Linked DNA regions of Oryctolagus cuniculus. The protein of the gene in region 4 purifies or fractionates together with the protein of the main gene of each other region. This does not show direct contact. Links are inferred from orthologs where the notes say so. Each region holds a gene or a part of one and is shown on either strand. Other genes may lie near its edges. The genes, in order: DBT, BCKDHB, BCKDHA and PPM1K.

Region 1 (5,200 bases), on a different chromosome or scaffold from region 4:
TCCAATCCAAGTACCTGCTAATGAGCCTGGGAAAGCAGTGCAAGATAGCCCAAGTGCTTGGACCTTTACCACCTATGTAAGAAACTGGAGGGAGTTCCAGGCTCCTGGTTTTGGCCTGACCCAGCCCTGGCTGTTGTGATCATTTGGGAGAGTAAACCAGCAGATATAAGATATCTCTCCCTCTCCCTGACTCTTCCTCTAATTCTGCCTTTCAAATAAGTAAATCAATCATGGGAAAACAACAACAACAACACAGAGTCCCATCTACAATATCAGATCTGTGACTTTAAGCCTATCATTTCAGGAAAAAAAAAATCTGTGCATGGTGGATAAGGTTGGGAAGGGAATGGCAGAAGCAAAATGAGGCAGGGGAAGCAAGGGTCTACTGAAGGTAAGCAACCAAAGTACGGAGTATATCCTTACATAAAGTACATTCAGATGTGGTTTGGAGCTTATTTTTAGATATTTTTCAAAGCTTACTGAAAAGGATAAGACAAATTTAAGAAACATAAGAAGGTAGTTCATAAAGTTTGTGGAAAATGGACTGAACAGATAAGGCTGTTTTGGTGCCACAATTTTTGAAACTGATGCATGATTTTTGATAATGCACAATTTCCGTGAACTTCTAGAAGATCCCTTGTATGAAATGTAAAATTGATCAGGTTTTGGTAAACAATATGATGTGAGAGAGGAGTCACGCTGACTACAGGTTTCCAGCTTGACTCATTGATTTAAGCAATACAGGAAGAAGAGGAAATTTGTATAAAACTGAGTTTGAGGAGTTTGAGTTATACATGCGATATTGAAATGGAGATACATAGCAACAATTGGTGAGGTCTGAGAGCTACAGATTCAGAACGTTCAATATGTAGTAGGTGAAGGTATATCTGTAAAAGTGACACAAGAAGATGGGAGGGCCAAGGATAGGATCCTACAAAAGACTGAAATTTAGGAGAGAAACAGGGGCCTGGGTTGTGCAACATGTTGGGCCACCACTTGCAACACTGGCATCCCACATCAGACTGCTAGTTCAAGCCCCAGCTACTCTTTTTTTTATCCAGCTTACTGCTAACCTGCCTGGGAAGGTGGCAAAAGATGGCCCAAGTACTTGGGCCCCTGTCAAGTATGTGGGAGACTAGGATGGATTTCTTGGCTCCTGGTTTCAGCCTGGCCGAGATTGGCTGTTGAGATCATTTGGGAAGTGAACCAGACGATATAAGATCCCTCTTCTCTGTCTCTCCTCCCTCTCTGTTGCTCTTTCAAATAAATAAATCTTTTTTTAAAAAAGAGGGAAAAACACACAAGATGAAGAATGATCAAGGCTGGCATTGATGCAATGGGTCAAGCTGTTGCCTGCAATGCCAATTTGAGTTTCAGCTGCTCTACTTCCAATCTAGCTCCTTGCTAAGGCACCTAGGAAAGCAGCAGCAGAACACTTAAGTGCTTGGTTGGGCTCTTGCTACCCATGTGGGAGACCTGAATGGTGTTCCAGGCTCCTGGCTGTGGCCTGGACTATAGTTGGCTGTTGTAGCCATCTGGAGAGTGAACCAATAGATTGAAGATTTTTGCTCTCTCTGTAACTGTGCCTTTCAAATAAATAAATCAATCTTAAAAAAACAGGAATCTTTAAAAAAAAGAAATCAAAACAGTGATCAGTGTTGAGCACTGGAGCCAGGACAACGAGAGAGAGAGAGAGAGAATATGAGTGTCTAGAGGAAGTATGTACTAAATACTTCACATATTTTAATTTATTTAATCCACCCAGGTATAAGGATCTTTGTTTTGATTATTGATATATCCCAGCTACCTCAACTACTGCCTTGGCACATAGCAGGCGATCAATAAGTATCTGTTGTTGAATGAATAAATTCTTATTATACAATGAGCTAAATATTATGAATGCTTCCATTTTGAAAATGATGAAACTGAGAAAACTTAAATAACTTGCTCAGTTACACAGCTAGAAACTGGCAAACCAGGAACCCAAGTAGCCTGGAATTAGTGGATCCAGGAACTCAAAGGTCATGATAAATGATCAGAGGCTGTAGAAGGAAGCTGGAGTTTCTGTTTGAATAGCTTCTAGCCCAACAACAACAACAACAAAATTAACTTTTAAAAAATACAGATATTTTTTAAAAAAAGTGAAAATAAGGTTTACATGCCTTAGGCTGAGGTAAAGGAAGGCAGATAAAAAACATGGAGGGGCCAGCTCTGCGGCATAGCAGGTAAAGCTGCCACCTGCAGTGTTGGCAGCCTATGTGGGCACCAGCTCGAGACCCAGCTGTTCCACTTCTAATCCAGTTATTCAGTTCTCTGCTGTGGCCTGGGAAAGCAGTTGAAGATGGCCCAAGTGCTTGGGCCCCTGCACCCATGTGGGAGACCCAGGAAGAAGCACCTGGCTCCTGGCTTCAGAATGGCCCAATTCCAGTTATTGCAGCCATTTGGGGAGTGAACCAGCGGATGGAAGACCTGTCTCTCTGTCTCTGTCTCTGTCTCTCTCTCTCTCTGTAATTCTGCCTTTCAATAAGTAAATAAATCTTAAAAAAAAAAAAAAAAAAGCATGGAGGGGCTGGCACTGTGGCAAAGCAGATAAAGCCACCACCTGCAGTGCCGGCATCCCATATGGGCACCGATTTAAGACCTGGCTGCTCCACTTCTGATCCAGCTCTCTGCTATGGCCTGGGAAAGCAGTACAAGATGGCCCAAGTCCTTGGGCCTCTGAACCCATGTGGGAGACCTGGAAGAAGCTCCTGGCTCCTGGCTTCAGATTGGCACAGCTCTGGCTGTTGCAGCCAATTTGGAGGTGAACCAGCAGATGGAAGACCTCTCTTTCTCTCTGCCTCTTCTTCTCTCTCTGTGTAACTCTGACTTTCAAAAAAATAAATAAATCTTAAAAAAAAAAAAAAAGCATGGAGAAATTGAACTCAAGGGTGATATCTGCACGGAATTCCCTATTTTTCCCTGTGAGCACAGAGTAAGGCCCTATTATCTGTCCAAAGCTTAGCCATATAACAGAAGTCTAGGGTCCTTTATCAGGGTTTTAAACAGAACATCAGAAAAAAATGTTCTTATGCCCTTGCCAAATCAATCTTCAAGTTCTTTATAGAGAGTAGAAAAAGTTGGGCAAAAGGTAAGTAAAGCATAATAGCAGGAAACTTTCTGTTCAGGAGTGTTTAAGACTGGTTTCATCAGACCATGTTAAAATCACAGATTAAGTGCTTCATTCACCAAACAATACCATGGTGTGTACAATGACACAAAGACACTTCTATTAAGTCTATGATTTATGTTGACTGAGAAGGTCATATCAATGCTAACTATTGCATTTAGATGAGTCAGATGATAAAGAATAGATGGCCCAACACAACCCAATTCTAACATTATGAAGACACAAGTATTAAGAAAAGTATGTGAAAGGTGACAGGGGAAGGAGAAGTTAGGGGCTGGGAGTGTAGGAGTGGAGGCAAGAAAAAAGAAAATGGGTAATGGATAGACATGGAGAGAGTCAGGGCAGAAGTACGTGGGGTTCAGGGCCAGCATTTTTTACTTTGATGAATCTTTGATTACTAAGTACTGAATAAGATATAACACATTACTTTATATATGTTATCTTGAGATCATACTTACCAGCGGTCGTTTTCAGCAAGTGATGTGGATGACTGTAGTTGAATGAAGGATAACCGAAGAAATACACACATTTTGGCTTCAAAACATGAACAATACCACGTGTTTGAAAAGAGCGAACACAAATCTACAGGTGAGAAAACAAAATGTAAAAGTATTTATAAATGAACTTATGGATTATTTAAGTATGTATTGAATTTCAATTCCATTATTTAGTAAGACAATTGCTAACACAATATAAATATGAAATTACCTAAGCCAAAACCAGAATACTTCGTAGCAATGACAATTTATGAAGTATATGACAGTTTCTGAAGTATGGTATCTATATTTCTAAGAAGTCAAAGAAATTCAAACCCTAGCCTACACAGAACATTTTGTTATTCTTTTGTTTGTAATACTGTAACTTCAGAGTCAAATTTGTTCATATGTTTGTGATCCTTGACCAAAATTCCTTATGAAAGTGTTTTTAACAATATGTTCTGTATAAACAAACACACCAGCCCATATCTTAAGCAATTAGACTTCCTGAAATACAACTAAAAAACTCTGAAGTAACTGTTAGCAAGTGAAGATACTAGAAAACATGTATAATTTCTACTCAGATTTTTTGTATCATACTTTATAGTAGACTCTTTAGATTTAACTATTTTATATGATACTTTAGCATAATGTAATGCTATAGAAATGAGTGGTCCTGAATGTATTCAAGTCTATATTAAAATCTAACTACTTAAAAACTACAGTATCATATCTTGAAAGTTAAAATTCACTGTTGCTAATATTAATACCTGATTAGCTAAATCATACTTTTAACAAAAACTATAGAAATTCCTAACCTTCTGGTATGTATTTGAAATTCTTTCATTTATTCAGGAGACAGTCACTTTTACTTTACCAAAAAGGGTATCAGGGGCTGGTGTTGAGACGTAGGGTAAAGCTGCTGCCTGCAACGCCAGCATCCCACATGGGTGCCAGTTCATGTCCTGGCTGCTGCACTTCTGATCCAGCTCCCTGCTAACGGCTTGGGAAAACAGCAGAAGATGGCCACCCACCACCCACAAGGGAGACTGATGAAGCTCCTGGCTTGGCCTGGCTCAATACTGGCCATTGCAGCCACTTGAGGAGTGAACCAGCAGACGGAAGACTTTGCTCTGTCTCTCCCTCTCTCTTCTGTAACTCTTTCAAATAAATAAATAAATCTTTAAAAAAAAAACAAAAACAAGAATTACCCAAACACACAAATAAGTTTATCAGTACATTAGTGGCAATTAGTCCTTAAATTCTAAAGTTATACTACATTATAATATACATTATATATTCTAGTTACATTTAATACATATTCATAAATATGAATTTTTATGATGGTAAATAATATAAAACAAAAAATTTGGTTAATGTATAGGAACAATACATTTAAACAACTGATTTCTCACTGAATTTCTAAATTGTTATACTTTAAAAAAAAGGCTTGTAGCTTTTAAATAAATTATTTATTTTTTTTTTTTTTGACAGGCAGAGTAGATAGAGAGAGAGAGAGACAGAGAGAAAGGTCTTCCTTTTTCCATTGGTTCAC
Region 2 (3,996 bases), on a different chromosome or scaffold from region 4:
TCGGTGAACTCAAAAGGCTTCCATAGCCTTGGAAACTCATGACAAGAGCCTAGGGTGATTACTGAGGCCATTAACAAGAGTGTCAATTTGTTAAGTCAACAACAGGAGTCACTGTGCACTTACTCCTCATGTAGGATCTCTGTCCTTAATGTGCTGTACATTGTGATTTAATGCTATAACTAGTACTCAAACAGTATTTTTCACTTTGTGTTTCTATGTGGGTGCAAATTGTTGAAATCTTTACTTAATGTATGCTAAATGATCTTCTGTATATAAAGAGAATTGAAAATTAATCTTGATGTGAATGGAAAGGGAGAGGGAGCAGGAAAGGGGAGGGTTGCGGGTGGGAGGGAAGTCATGGGGGGGGGGAGCCATTGTAATCCATAAGCTGTACTTTGGAAATTTATATTCATTAAATAAAAGTTAAAAAAATAAAAAAAAATCACTTGCCATGTAGTTATAGATATTGCTTCACTGAATCATAGGATATAGGATTTAAATGACAATATGCTCTTATTTAACACACTCCAAAAAAAAATAAAGGGAGAGAGAAGTAGAGTGAGAACTTGGGGTACTTAGTAATACTTTGGTTTTTTTTTTTTTAAGATTTATTTATTTATTTGAGAGTCAGAGTTACAGAGAGAAGGAGAGGCAGAGAGAGAGAGAGAGAGAGAGAGAGAGAGAGAGAGAGGTCTTCCATTTGATGGTTCACTCCCCAACGGGCCACAACAGCTGGAGCTTTGCTGATCCAAAGCCAGGAGCCAGGAACTGCTTCCGGGTCTCCCACGCAGGTGCAAGGGCCCAAGGACTTGGGCCATCTCCTACTGCTTTCCCAGGCCATAGCAGAGAGCTGGATTGGAAGTGGAGCAACCGGGTCTCGAACCGGCAGCCATATGGGATGAACTTCAGGCCAGGGCGTTAACTCGCTGCGCCACAGCGCCGGCCCCTACTTTGTTTTTAATTTGGGGGTTGGTTATGAGTGTGACTGGATGACAAAAACTCATTGATCTTTACACTTATATCCATTTCTTGGTATGTATACTGTATTTTAACAAAATGTTTAATAAACAAATTATTTGTTAATAAGAAAAATCAGCATTTGTAAAGTAAATGTTTCACTTTAACACAAATCTAACAAATTAGCAATCTATTGTTCTGTAATAAAAATTGTTTTACTAGTGGACAAATGACACACACACAAACTGAGGACAACCTGATTTTTGTTTTATTGAATACCATCTCACATTCAGTAATTATAGGTGGCACTACACCGAATTTAAAAGACCATCATTTGAAACATTTTAAAATGTTAATCTGAAACACACTTAATGGAAATCATCGATTCATGTGTTATACAATAATTAATTTATAACTTCTTGGCCAATATCCACAATGATTCATTTCATAAAATCTCTTTTTTCAAGAATGGATAAATCTGAGGAAATATAAAAAATTTCAGAAAAATATTTCCATATCTAGTCACAATCTTCCAGTTTCCCTGTAAAAGAAATTGGTAACAATTACATGCATTCTGAACTGCATGGATAACTAGTTTCTTTAATATCCTCTTCAACTTCTGCATACAAAAGTTACTGTTTTTATTATATTTTCAGTAGAGGTTTCAATGTTTTTCTAATGGTTAAGAAAAAATACACCATACAAATGTAATACCAGTATCTAAATCTGACTTTAAAAATAGCAACGAGGCACATGGCTGCAATTATTACCTCGACTCTCCATTGCAGATGGTCCATGGAACAACAGCGTGGACAACGAAAGCCAAGAAGTCCACATAAGCTGGCCTGAGTATAATTTATTGTAGAAGCCAGCAGCTTTCACAGACATTGAGAAGAGATTAGAAATCAGCATCTACATCTGCATGGCTGAGAGCTTACCAGGGGTATGTGGACTAATGAGCCCTGGTTCATACCCATACCAGCGTCAGAATAGAACCACTAACACTGCAGGCGTATGGCAGCACAGAAGCCAGAGAGGAGAGGGGTACTATTTTCTCTTTCTGTACATTTGTAAAGCGTCTCTCTCTGGTTTCAGGTACTAGCTTTGGAATCCATACGCGGAATCCAAGAATTACAGCATTTCTTATCTTTAAAACACTTAGTATGCACCATTATATGGAGATCATTATTCTTTTGTCTTTGAAAAATCTTGCTTCTCCAATATAATTATTATTTTTGGAAAATATAGATGTTAAAATATAAAGTATCTATCAATTCATTTTTGATATGAGCCCTAATTAGTGATGTTTAAGGGACCATTTTTAAATAATATAAATTACTTTTATTCATGAGCACTTTAAATAGTTGAAAAAATATCCATAAATGAAGGCAAAAGGAGGAGCTGTGCTGTAAGGTATGTCTGCAATCTAAACCCTGGCAGAGAGCATCTTTATCTAATGACTAGCATACATATGTTTCTGTTTTCTAGAAATCACATAAAGCAGATTTGTGCTAGGTTTCTAGCAAGTGTAAACACACTAGTATAAATTTGAATTATTTTCTGAAGTACACAGTTTGTTATGAAAGTTGCAGATTACCAAAAGTCAAAGGTACTTCAAAAGTTCATGGAAAATGGAATTAAAGGTAAGTTTATTTTGGTATAAAAAAAAAAACCTTTGAAACCCATGCACAGTTGTGTCATTAAATAGGCATTTTCTGTGAGCTTTATGAAGAAGCCTCTGACAGCACACTGGTGATTGCTAGTCCTTGGTGTACAGCACATTAATGTCAATGACACACATTAGTTTGCACAAAATGCAGAGCATACTTACTTACCTATTTGGTCAATAGTTGATCATTTTTCGAAGGGCATCATAGCACTTCCATTTGTCTGGGATATAGAATGGCTCAAAAATGTGAGGAAATGGTGTGTCATACCCACATACTCTAGATATAGGAGCCTCTAGATTCAAGAAACATTCTTCCTGCAGAAAAGAATCAAGATGGTCAATTTCAATTCTACTTTCTCCTGGCTGAATTCTTTATTTAGTAGAGGGTTAAGCTTGTGATTGTAAAATAAACTAAAGTATGTTATTGTAAAAATTACAAGTAAAAAGAAAGGAAGAGGAGGGAGGGTAGAAGCATGGGTGGGAGAGAGGGTCAGGTGGGACGTATCATGATGCTCTTAAATCTATATATTTGAAATTTGTTCATCTCATACAATTAAAATTTTTTAAAGAATATTTCCTTGTTTTTCCCAAAGAAACCTTTTATTTAAGGAATATAAACTTCATGCATTCATAAGTACAATATTAGGAATATAGTGATTCTTCCCACCATACCTACCCTCCCACACACTCCCACTCCTCCACACCTCCCTCTCCCATTCCCAGTCCCATTCTCCACTAAGATCCACTTTTGATTAACTGTATACACAGAAGACCAACTATACACTAAGTAAAGACTTCAACAATTTGCAAAAAGCAAAACAAAACAAAACCCTTTTCCTCAATAGTCAAGACAAGGGCTGTTCAGAGTCATTGCATTTTGAAGTTAATTTCACTTCTTTTTTTTCTTAGAAACGTAATTAACTTTAAGAAGCACCCAAGAATGATACATCTTATGCAAGCACTTAGACATAATTATAATACAACTCTTTGAGGACAGAGGTCCTGCATGGGAAGTTAGTACACAGTGGCTCCTGTTGTTAATTTAACAATTAACACTTATCTATGATGTCAGTGATCACCCAAGGCTCTTGACATGAGCTGCCTAGGCTATGGAAGCCTTTTGAATTCACAAACTCCATCAGTATTTAGACAAGGCCATAAGCAAAGCGGAAGTTCTCTCCTCCCTTCAGAGAAAAGTACCTCCCTCTTTGATGACCACTTCTTTCTACTGGAGTCTCACCCACCCAAGTCCTTCAAGTAGGACACTTTTTGCCACATTATCTTGGCTTTCCATGCCTAAAATGTTGTCATGGGCTTTTCAGCCAGACCAGAATGCCTTAAGGGCAATTCTGAGGTCAGAGTGCTATTTA
Region 3 (5,732 bases), on a different chromosome or scaffold from region 4:
GCCTGGCCCAGCCCTGCCCATTACAGCCATTTGGGGAGAGATCCAGCAGATGGAAGATCTCTCTAACTCTACCTTTCAAATAAATCTCTTTAAAGAAGAAGGGCCGGTGCAGTGGGGTAGCAGGTTAAGTCACCACACACAGTGCTTGCATCCCACGTGGGCATGGGTTCGAGTCCCAGCTGCTCTGCTTCTGATGCAGCTCCCTGCTAATCCCTGGGAAAGCAGCAGAAGATGGCCTAAATATTTGGGCCTCTGCACCCACGTGGGAGACCCAGAAGAAGCTTCTGGTTCCTGGCTTTGAATCAGCCCAGTTCATGACCCTGTGGCCATGTAGGGAGTGAACCAGCAGATGGAATATATCTCTCTGTCTCTCCCTCTATATATAACTCTGCCTTTCAAATCAATAAAACAAATATTTTTTTTTTTAAATAAGGAAGTTAGTTAGTTCTACTGGACAACCCTGGCCTAGAATCTTCTTTAACTAAAGCTATGGCTCCAGGCTGGTGCTGTGGCATAGTAGCCTCTGCCTGCAGCACTGGCGTCACATATAAGCCCCGGTTCCTGTCCTGGCTGTCCTCTTCCAATCCAGCTCCCCGTTAATGGCCTGGGAAAGCAGTGGAAGATGCCCAACTGCTTGGGCCCCTGCATCCAGGGTGGGGTGGGGACTTGGAAAAAGCTCCTGGCTTTGGACTGGCCCAGCTCCGGCCATTGCAGTCATCTGGGGAGTGAACCAGCAGATGAAAGACCTCTCTGTCTCTCCCTCTCTTGGTCTATAGCTCTCTCTCTCAAATAAAATCTTGGGGCTGACGCTGTGGTGTAGCAGGTAAAACCGCCCTCTACAGTGCCAGCATCCCATATGGGCACCAGTTCAAGTCCCGGCTTCTCCACTTCCGATCCAGCTCTCTGCTATGGCCTGGGAAAGCAGTAGAGGATGGTCCAAGTCCTTGGGCCCCTGCACCTCATGGGAGACCTGGAGGAAGCTCCGGGTTCCTGGCTTCGGATTGGCGCAACTCCGGCCGTTCAGGACAAGTGGGGATGAGACAGCGGATGGAAGATCTCTCTCTCTCTCTGCCTCTCCTTCTCTCTGTGTAACTCTGACTTCCAAATAAATAAATATATATTCAAAATAAATAAATAAAATCTTGTAAAAAAGAAATGCTATGTCCCTTCTCTACACTAAAAAAGTGGAGCCTCTTTTTAAAATCTTAGGTGGCAAAAATACAGGTGGGAGACAGTGACTCTAAGAAAATATAAATTGGGGCCAGCGCTGTGGCGTAGCAGGTAAAGCCACTGCCTGCAACGCCGGCATCCCATATGGGCGCCACTTTGAGTCCCGGCTGCTCCACTTCCCATCCAGCTCTCTGCTATGGCCTGGGAAAGCAGTGGAGGATGGCCCAAGTGCTTGGGAGACCTGGAAGTTCCTGGCTCCTGCCTTCGAATTGGTGCAGCTCCAGCTGTTTTGGCCATTTGGGGAGTGAACAAGCGGATGAAAGACCTCTCTCTTTCTGCCTCTGCCTAATAAATAAATAGATCCTTTAAAAAAAAAAAAAAAGAAAATATAAATCAAGATATACATAAACAGGGCCAGCATTGTGGTATAGCAGGTAAAGCCGCAACCTGTGACACCAGCATCTCACTTTCCCAGCTGCAGCACCTCAGATCCGGCTCCCTGCTACTGCGCCTGGGAAAGCAGTGGAGGGTGGCCCAAGTGCTTGGGCCTGCACCCGCAGGGGAGACCTGGAGGAAGCTCCTGGTTCCTGGCTTCAGCCAGGCCCAGCCCCAGCCCCAACCATTGCAGCCATCTGCGATGTGAACCAGCAGAAGGAAGATCTTATCTTTCTCTCTCTACCGGACTTTCAAATAAATACATCTTTAGAAACTTAACTAAGTAAACATATATAAATAAAAGTATGAGTATCCGTCCCCCCCCCAAAAAAAAATGAAGGCAGGCAGGCAACAAGGAGACTGAGCCAACAGAAACAGGTTTAATCAGACACAAACGACCTTCCCCTGGCCTGCCCCAGTCTGCCCACCTCCCACCCGACTTGCCCAGCCAGTGGGCTCTCGGGAATGAGGTCAACGGTAGAGGCTCTGACTGCTTTAAAAAAAAAAAAAAAAAAAAAAACACTACAAGAGAACAGCCCCAAGGCAGAAGGCTGCCCCGCCCCCTGCACCTGCGCCTCCTCGGCCTCTACCTGCTTCAGGTGATTCTCTTCCAAGCATTCACACCCTTCTTCCCTCCTTTCTATCAGAGATTCCCCCTACGGTTTCCCCTCCCTGCCTCACACACTGGGGCTCAGACCCAACCCCACAGTTCAAGCCACCTCCTTTCCGCTCCCCTCGCCAAGGTCGCGCCCCGACACTCCTGTTGCAGGGCTGGTTCTCACACCTCGCGTGTTTTCACAACCACCCCCTAAGGGTTCACCGAGGGGCACGGCAGGGCTGTGAGCCCCCCGGGCTGTAGCTCAGGCCCTTCCCTGGTCCACGTCAGCCCCTCTCCCCACCAGAGGGTCCGCGGGGCGACTTTACCCCAAGCGGCTTCTACCAGAAGGCCCTCGGACCCTTTGGACAAGAAATAAAAATTCCTCAAGGATTTTCGAGAAATGTGGGCAGATGCCCCGGCCGGTCCTCTCCTCCCTCGTAAATTCAACAAATACTTATGGCTGCCCTCCTCGGTAGCGTCCCAAGCACAGTCAAGTCCCTGCCTGCCGACGTCCCCTCAGGGCACGCAGGAGTCCATGGCTTCCTCCCACGACTCGTCTTAAACCGAGAACTGAGGCGAAGGAGCAAAGAAATGAAGACCCCATACAAGCCCGCGACTGGACCGCATTCCTCCTTTCTCGGCTTGGACGAGAACGTCCATCCACAAGAAACTCTCCCCTGGCCACGTCAGTCCGTTCTCCAGCCCCTGAGGGACACGGTCTCGCCGTCCCCGCGCCCCGCCGAGCGAGAAGACCTACCCTTACGCCTCCCTCAGAGCCCGCAGAGGGGCGACCTCGCCTTTCCCCTCCTCAGTGGAAGCTCCTCCCTCGCGAGGCCCCTCCGCGCGCTCTCCCAATCCTTTTTCGCTTCCTTGATTGCCAGCCCTTGCTGCATACCCTGCAGGTGACGCTCCGAAGAGGGTCTTTACGGCCCTATTACTCCTTAGGGAAAACTTCCAGGGGCCCCAAGTACTCACGGATCTAGTCAGCCCCCGCGCCCCAAGCTGCCGCAGCAACAGGGGCACAGCCTGGCGCCTAGGCCCCCAGACCCTCGCCGCGGAAATCGCTAACGCCATCTTGACTTACAACCCACTCGGCGACCCGCCCCCTCCTTTAACCTAGACCGGGGGCTGCCCTTTCATGAGCCTGATTCAATTGCCAGCACCACTGTGACATAGAACACCTGCTTCCAGTCCCACTTACGCCAGTACGCGTAAATGTGTGAGGAAGGTGAATTATTTTTTCCAAAATTACTCAGATAGCCCCGTTGTAGTTGATCATGTAAACAGGCAAAGAAGAGGGCAACCTTATCAGGACGCCCGAGGTTTAAGGCCCGGGGGCCTTGGGTAGGACGAGCCCGTGCCAAAGCCCGCCCCCTTTCCTCTATTGTCCAATGGCTTTGCCTTAGTGGGGAGGCGGGGAGCGGACGGAGTCATATTTGTTTGTAAACCCTAACCCACGTGCGCGCGCCCAGTTAGCCAGCGGACCCACGCATGCGCACTGGGTACGCAACTTGCGCGCAAGCGCACTCTGCTGGGCGGAAGCGACGGTCCGGCCTGCACGTGGGCTCTGGGACTATGGAGGGGGTGGTGGCTGCTGGCGCCAATGCCCACGCTGACACTGGGACAGAGTGTCGCTCTCGGGGCCCTGGCTGCAGCCTCCGGCACTTTGCTTGCGAACAGAACCTGCTGTCCAGGCCGGATGGCTCTGCTTCTTTCCTGCAAGGTAAGAACTTAACCCAGGTGCGTACCGCCCCGGTCACGTTCACCCATTTGGTGTTTGTGTGGGAGAGCGGGCTATGGAACACTGAGGCCGACCTCGCCGCTATGCGAGCTGGCCCCTGCCTCTCCTTCACTGCCGCGGAACGTATTGCTCGGGTGGATACTACCGGATCCACCGCATACACACGTCCCCCTCCAGACCGGGAGGGAGCGCTCTCTACCCCCGCAAGAATGACTTCCAGAATTCGGAAGGTCTTATCCGGGTAAATCACCTCCGTTTACTAGATCCGCGCCCCTCTCAGCCTGTTTGCATAAATGCCGCGTAGAGTAGGCGGGTCATCGCCGTGGGTTTAATTCCTCCCTAGAGCGGGGCACATATTACCCCCCAAGTATAGTATAGATGACGCCCTCACCTTTGACAGGTACTCCCCTACTCCCACCCCACCAAGTGAGCGAATATCCGCATCTTTCCATGCGAGTAAATGAGCGTAGACAGAAAAGAGAAGAGGTCCCAGCACTAACCCCCGGGCCCCCCCAACTTTGAGAGCTCCCGGAAGTGTGAAGAGCTCGCCCAGCGGCAGGTGCGGCAGGGGACGAATCAGGAGACGGAGGTGTCCCGGAGGCGAGAGGAAGGGTGTGAGATGAAAGGGCCGCCCAGTTGTTCCGGTCTGAAAGGGGGGCTGATCTCGGGAGGGTTGAGCCGCTGGGGGTCCTTGGTGAAGCTCCAGGCTGCGGCAGCGGAGTGGTGGGGCCGGGAGGGGAGGAAGAAGAGACGTGAGTGGAGACTGCTCTCAAGGACTGCTTCTGTGAGAAGGGCTGGGAGTGGGGCAGCAGTTGGTGATGGATGCGGGGTGGAGAGAAGAGACTTGGCAGAGCCGTGGCCTGGAAGCCGGGAGTGGAGGGAGGCCGGTCCGTGTACCGGTGGGACAGGCAGGAGTGAAGACCCCAGCAAGGACCTGGTTCCGCTCAGGTGCCTCCTCCGGGTGGACAGATTCTCCCCGAACTAAGAGCACCCCGGGGTGAGGGCAAACTGGGTCTCCCAGGAGCAGAACCCCCCCCCCCCGGTTGTCTCTTCCCTGGAGACTTGCCCAGCCCTCCTCCAGCTTGGCTGTCTTGCTGAGGTGTTTTAGAACACAAGAAATAAGGAGAAAGGTAGCCTTTCCCACGGTCTGAAACCCCAGAGCAGGGTGGGAGCTGTGATGCAGCCGGTTAAGCTGCTGGCCTGGCTGGCGTCTCATGAGTGCCCGTTTGAGCCCTGGCTGCTCTGCCTCTGATCCAGCTCCTTGCTAATGCACCTGGAAGGGCAACAGGGTGGTGGCCCAAGTGCGGCCCCTGCCAACCACATGGGAGACCCAGATGGAGTTCCAGGCTCCTTGCTTGAGCCTCGACCAGTCCTGTCTGATGCAGGCATTTGAACAGTGAACCCGCAGATGGAAGCTCTCGCTATCTCTCTGTCACTCTGCCTTCAAAATAATTAATTAAAATTTAAAAATAATTTTAAAACTGCAAAACCATAGGACCCTGTGGAATAACAGTCAGTGCTTTGCAGACTCTCAAGAAGTGTGTTCCGGGGACACTGCAGGTTAAGCCGCCACCCGGAGTGCTGACATCGAATGCGGGCCCCAGTTCAACTCTCAGCCGCTCCACTTCCAGTCCACCACCCTGCTAATGTGCCTGGGAAGGCAGTGGAGATGGCCCAAGTGCCTGGACCCCTGCCACCCACAGGGAGAACCAGAACAAGTCCTGGTTCCTGGCTTCTGCCTGGCCTAGCCCCTGTCATTGTGGCCATATGAAGAGTGAACCAGTAGAT
Region 4 (5,200 bases):
TTTGAAAGTTTTGGTAACTTAATAAGAATAAATTTTTAAATATTCTCAAAACATTAACTTAAAAAACACATACTAATAGACTTATAACAACAAATATAAAATAGTATCTAATGACACTGTTACGAGATTTTTAGTAGCATACTAGACATCATTCTATCCTGCTCCACTATACTTTCACACAAATGGTCATTAAATGAAAATTAAAATATCTTATAAAAGTTCTGGGATTATTACCTCAAAGCATATGACAGAGGGAATAAATAATGTTTTAATTTCATGTTTAAAAATTATTTTATGATTGATTTCTTTACACAACTGCTTGTGTGTAAAGAACTGTAACTTGTGTGTAAACTGCTTTATGTGACAAAGCCAAATTTAGAAAGTTTAAGATATGCAAGTTAAATAAATTCTCTAGTTCAAAACTCCCTCTCATACCCTACACCAAATCGACCAGTGATTGTTTTAATTATCTCCTGGCTGCACCCATGAAGGGTTAATGTCTTAGATTGTTGGCCACATCCTGACATTCTTGAACATTCTCTTCTGAAAACCTTTGCACTAAGCTGCAGCTGCTTGCAGAACAGCTGGGGCTCAGCACCTGCACTACAGCTCACAGGTGTGAGCTACAGTCCCATTCACAGACAAACTGGTTACAGATGAGATAAGAGCATACCAGAACTCAGAGAGTTACAAAAATGAAACTATCAGAAGGCATTTTGTTTCCTCTTCTCCTTCCTGTGTTTTACTCAAAAACAAAAGCTAAATCTTATGCGTGAAATCCCCCCTTTTTCAACTCCTATCTTCTTAAAGGTGAGGGACCAGATGAGAGGGGAAAAAAGTCCAAAGGAATGGAAGAAAAGAAAAATGGGCCTAACTCACCTACAAACTAAATAAATCCCTGAACAAAACGGGAGGGTGGAGTGTAATGTTTGCTGAGGACTGTGATGATAAGATAAGGTTCTCTTAAAAAAAAAAAAAAAAAAAAAAAGAGAGAAAGAGAGAGAGCAGGAAAACCTCTCAAGATGGTAAGTAGAGGCAGACGTTTTGCCCTTCCCAGATCAGAGTATTTGGGTTTGATTCCCAGCTCTGCTCCTGACTGCAGCTTCCTGCTACTGCAGACCCTGGGAGGCAACAGCATGGCTCAAGTAATTGTTGCTCTTATCATCCATATGGGAAACCTAAAGTGGGTTCCCAGCTGTTGTGGGCATTTGGAGAGTGGCCTAGTGGATGAAAGTTCACTTTTTAGCATGCTCTATTTCTGCTTCTAAAAAAAAAAATTCATGGAAAAACAGATTTAAAAGATAGACTTTTTAAAAATTACTTTAAAAAATGGCAAATAGAGCCATCCTACAATCACAATTCCTCCTCGTTATCAAACATCAATGTGAGAGATCACTTTGGGTGTCAGGAAAATCCCAGCCCTAGCTCTAGCTCTGAACTGATCTTTGACTCTCTTTGAACTTCAATTTCTTGTCTGTGAACTGGGGAAAATTTCTATTCCTGTGCAGTCCAACTGAAAACTGTGAATATGACATTTCTGTAGTGCATTTTTTTTTAAGCTCCTGGCTCCTGATCATCTCCGCTAGGGCCATTGCAGCCATTTGAGGAGTGAATCAGCGCATGGAAGACCCTCTCTCTGTAACTCTTTCAAATAAATAAAATAAATTTCAAAAAAAGAGAGGGCAAAATAGCTTCCTTGTAATTATACAAACTAGTGCATATTAGCCATTGTTCCTTCTTACATGGGATCTTTTAGCACTTTTCTTCTTGTCTGGACATTTAGTGTCCTAGATAAATGTGTTTTCCCTGCAGAGTATTTCAGCAGATGCCTCAAAAACAAAACAAAACAGCCCCAAATCCTCTGGTAGTATGAGTTCTTTTGCATACAGTAAGTAACCAAACATGAAAACTGACATTAGTTTGGATTCCAAACAGCATTCCCAGTGACTATGTAAGAACATTTCTACATAAACTTCCTCACAAGTAAGCATACATTAAAATGCCCACCCCTAAAGGACTTCAATGAATTCTTTTGTACCCTCCTTGACTCCAAGACTCTGAAAAATGTGATTGTTTTACATACCATCAGCAGACAGGTGGGCATGACTCGAAAAGGCTTTATCTATTTCTAGAAAAGCCAAGGTCAACACAGTTTCCAAGTTCTTCTCCTTAGGAAGCAAATCCCTTTGTGGGGAGGAAAAGAGAACCCCAGTCATTTACCATAGGTTTCTCTTGTCACAGTCCCTCTGTCTAGCAAAGTCCCTCAACTCAATGGACCCCAAGAGTTGCCTTTCAGATGCATAAGAGCTACTAGTTAGGGATGTTTATTGAGCTTTTATGGTACCAAATCACAGGCACTGTGATGAGCTTTTAAGAGCACAAAAATTAAAGTCCAGATCTCTATCCTTAAAGAATGAATCTTTATAAAGACCACAATGCTGGAGACACTGAACTCCTTCATATGAAACTTAAACCTCAGAGTTCTTTGTGGAATGAGGTAAAATAGGCACAAATCAACTGATAAACAGTAGTATGCATCAACCTTGCAGTACACAGGAAGGCAAGGAATTACACATAGTCAAAATTCCGTCACATGTTTTCCCCTTGTTTTAATTCTAGCAAGAGTGTGAACCTCAACAATACTAGCTAGAGGTACATAAACTAGTGAAAGTCCTCCAAACACCAGCATTAAATGCACTCTCACCCCCGACTAATGCCAACCATCCAAAGTTACTTTTCAGCAAGTCCAGTATTCAGAGCTAGTCTATGGGCTCTGCATTGATAGGAGTAAATGCTTCTCACAGGTTAGCTGGTGTATAAGGCATTTCAACACGTTCATGCATAAATGGAAGTAAAAGATAAGTTTATTTCAGTACAAAAAATTTTTGAAATGCATGCACAGTTTTTTTCATAATACACATTTTCCATGAACATTGTGGAGACTCCTGGACTTTACGTCCATTCACTCAAAATGATCACGGGTCAAATATTGTAAATTCTGGTCATCAGAATCTACTTTCATCAGGGAATTAAGACATGTATTTTAAAGATTTTTGAGTGTGTGTGTTTATTTTCATCTACTTAAAAGGCTGACAGAAACAGAGAGCTTCTGCTGGTTCGCTCCCTTCTCCCCAAATGTCTGTAACAGGCAGGGTTGTGCCAGGCCAAAGCCAGGAACCCAGAATTCCATCTGGGTCTCCCATGTGTGTGGCAGGAGCCCAAGATTTTGAGTTATCATCCACTGCCTTCCCAGGTACATTAGCAGGAAGCTGGGTCAGCAGCAGAGCAGCCAGCCACAGTGGGTCATAAACCACTGGCCGCACCACCCACCCAAGACACACGTTCTGAGGCAGCAATGATCATCAGTAATGAGTAATGAGTCTCATGAGAGTCATGGTACGTACAGAATACATTTCTCCATGCGGGTGTGGCAGAAATTAGCGGCTGCGGGTCCGCCGTGCCCGTCATACACAGCGAAGTACAGGACCTCATCTGTCAGCTGGGCGAAGTCGAATCGATCTTCATTCTCTTTCCGTTTGCCAATGTGCGAGGCGCAGCCCACGTTTTCCAGGCTGATTTTGGGGATCGGCTTGCCATACTTAATGCTGGGGGGCAGTAGAATTGGCTCGTCAATGCGGTTGTCCCAGATCCCGAAACTGTCCCAGGTGGCCGGACGCCCACTGCCGTCCGGGTCGAATCGAGAACACCTGGGCTCTGAGGTGGAGCTGTGGCAGGTGGCCGGCAGGCGGCGCTCGTCCTGCAGCAGGCGGGAGGTCAGCAGCGCTCTCCTTCTCACCTGGTTCCCGCCACTTCTAACCAAAGTGATTAAGGCAGCTGTTGACATCACTCAGCTGCAGGGGACTCAGTACAGAGGCGGAGGTTGGCAGACAATAGTGGACCGTCTTCAAGAGAATGATGTACCTGGGGAGAAGGAGGGCTTGGTCAGCAATTGTGAGCCAAACTGAATATCAGCACCAAAAACAAGGGCCATCTGGGCCTGACAGGAAATACTTACTATACTTATGTTATGCACTTTGTAGGCACCCAAAAGCCCGATTTTCATAACAATGGATGAAAAATGGCTCCATTTGCCTTATCCATTCACAGTAAAAACAAAAATCTGACAAGGAGCACTTTTGATTGAACCTGTCTCTCCAGCTTAACCTGCCATCATTGGAGGAAAGGAAAGCTGCAGGTGCTTTTTAAAATGCCATCATTGGAGGTGCTTTTTAAAATGCAAATTCTGATTCACTGGATATGAAGTGGATCTTGGGATGCTGGTAATAGGAGCTGCTGATCTTCAGGCCACACTTTGCCTAGCAAGAATATACAACACGGGTAGAAATAAATATTCCTCCTCTCATTAATTCCACTGCTCTGAAAAAAGGTAGGGGCAAATATTAACGATAGCACCAAAGTGCTAAAAATAAAAGGAAAAGTAACTGGTTCACAGAATATTTACAATAGCTTGTACACAGAATAGCCAAGTTTTCGTAAAGACACAATTTAGGATCTGAGTTTTGTTTGACGATTTCTCAACATACTTCATTTTCCATCTGCATGGTTAATGTAAACCGGTTCATGCAAACACACCCATAGGCCAGTTCCTATGCTGCCTTTGTGGGAGACACTCTCATGGAGAGGGCTGGGTGCAGAGGTCTCAGGAAACGGTGTCACTGCATTTGTGACAAACAACTGAGGTTTAAGCAGATGAACCATGCATTTTCTCTGCACCTGCAGCTTTCCTTTCCCCCAATTCTAGCAGCACACCCACACCTGAAACTGTGTGTCTTTAAAATTATTACCTGGCACCCCTACTTGTAGACTCTTCTCTCAAGCTCAACCCTAAGGACTCTCTTGGCATTACAGAATGTATCAGGGAAAAGTCCCACACTCTTGCAGGAAGAGCTGTCTTTCTGGCAATTTCCATACAAACAAGGTTCTAAGCAGAAATTAATCTCAATAGTACTTTGTTCCATTATTTATGAGTTAGGAATCAACTTGCCATAATGGTATAATATTAAGATTTGATAATGCTGGTGGAGGGAATACAGGTGCTATATTATTCCCAATTGTAGGTTTGGATTATTTCACAATAAAAAAGAGAACTTGGTAAAAAGAGGGTATCAAAGAAGTATAAACACACACATATAAAACTCAGTTTGAGGGCATTTGTGAGAAAATGCATTAAAGATTTCAA

The links.
Region 1: the proteins of PPM1K (region 4) and DBT purify together in Homo sapiens (affinity purification with mass spectrometry; 4 studies listed by BioGRID and IntAct, counting the BioPlex papers as one, with this or other methods). This does not show direct contact. The link is inferred for Oryctolagus cuniculus from reciprocal best matches to the Homo sapiens genes PPM1K and DBT.
Region 2: the proteins of PPM1K (region 4) and BCKDHB purify together in Homo sapiens (affinity purification with mass spectrometry; 3 studies listed by BioGRID and IntAct, counting the BioPlex papers as one, with this or other methods). This does not show direct contact. The link is inferred for Oryctolagus cuniculus from reciprocal best matches to the Homo sapiens genes PPM1K and BCKDHB.
Region 3: the proteins of PPM1K (region 4) and BCKDHA purify together in Homo sapiens (affinity purification with mass spectrometry; 4 studies listed by BioGRID and IntAct, counting the BioPlex papers as one, with this or other methods). This does not show direct contact. The link is inferred for Oryctolagus cuniculus from reciprocal best matches to the Homo sapiens genes PPM1K and BCKDHA.

The regions. Positions count from the first base shown.
Region 1 is NC_091438.1:70,078,117-70,083,316, reverse strand, and holds part of DBT (lipoamide acyltransferase component of branched-chain alpha-keto acid dehydrogenase complex, mitochondrial), read right to left. Parts: intron 3,752-5,200; coding exon 3,628-3,751; intron 1-3,627. UniProt on the Homo sapiens protein: The branched-chain alpha-keto dehydrogenase complex catalyzes the overall conversion of alpha-keto acids to acyl-CoA and CO(2).
Region 2 is NC_091436.1:92,094,569-92,098,564, forward strand, and holds the end of BCKDHB (2-oxoisovalerate dehydrogenase subunit beta, mitochondrial), read right to left. Parts: intron 2,942-3,996; coding exon 2,801-2,941; 3' UTR 2,793-2,800; intron 1,499-2,792; 3' UTR 1,204-1,498; downstream 1-1,203. UniProt on the Homo sapiens protein: Together with BCKDHA forms the heterotetrameric E1 subunit of the mitochondrial branched-chain alpha-ketoacid dehydrogenase (BCKD) complex.
Region 3 is NC_091449.1:13,104,388-13,110,119, forward strand, and holds the start of BCKDHA (2-oxoisovalerate dehydrogenase subunit alpha, mitochondrial), read right to left. Parts: upstream 3,331-5,732; 5' UTR 3,278-3,330; coding exon 3,179-3,277; intron 2,984-3,178; exon of another isoform or gene 2,961-2,983; intron 1-2,960. Other genes in the region: EXOSC5 (exosome complex component RRP46), read left to right, coding at 3,695-3,926. UniProt on the Homo sapiens protein: Together with BCKDHB forms the heterotetrameric E1 subunit of the mitochondrial branched-chain alpha-ketoacid dehydrogenase (BCKD) complex.
Region 4 is NC_091439.1:77,356,527-77,361,726, reverse strand, and holds part of PPM1K (protein phosphatase Mn(2+)-dependent 1K), read right to left. Parts: intron 3,922-5,200; 5' UTR 3,845-3,921; coding exon 3,405-3,844; intron 2,185-3,404; coding exon 2,084-2,184; intron 1-2,083. UniProt on the Homo sapiens protein: Serine/threonine-protein phosphatase component of macronutrients metabolism.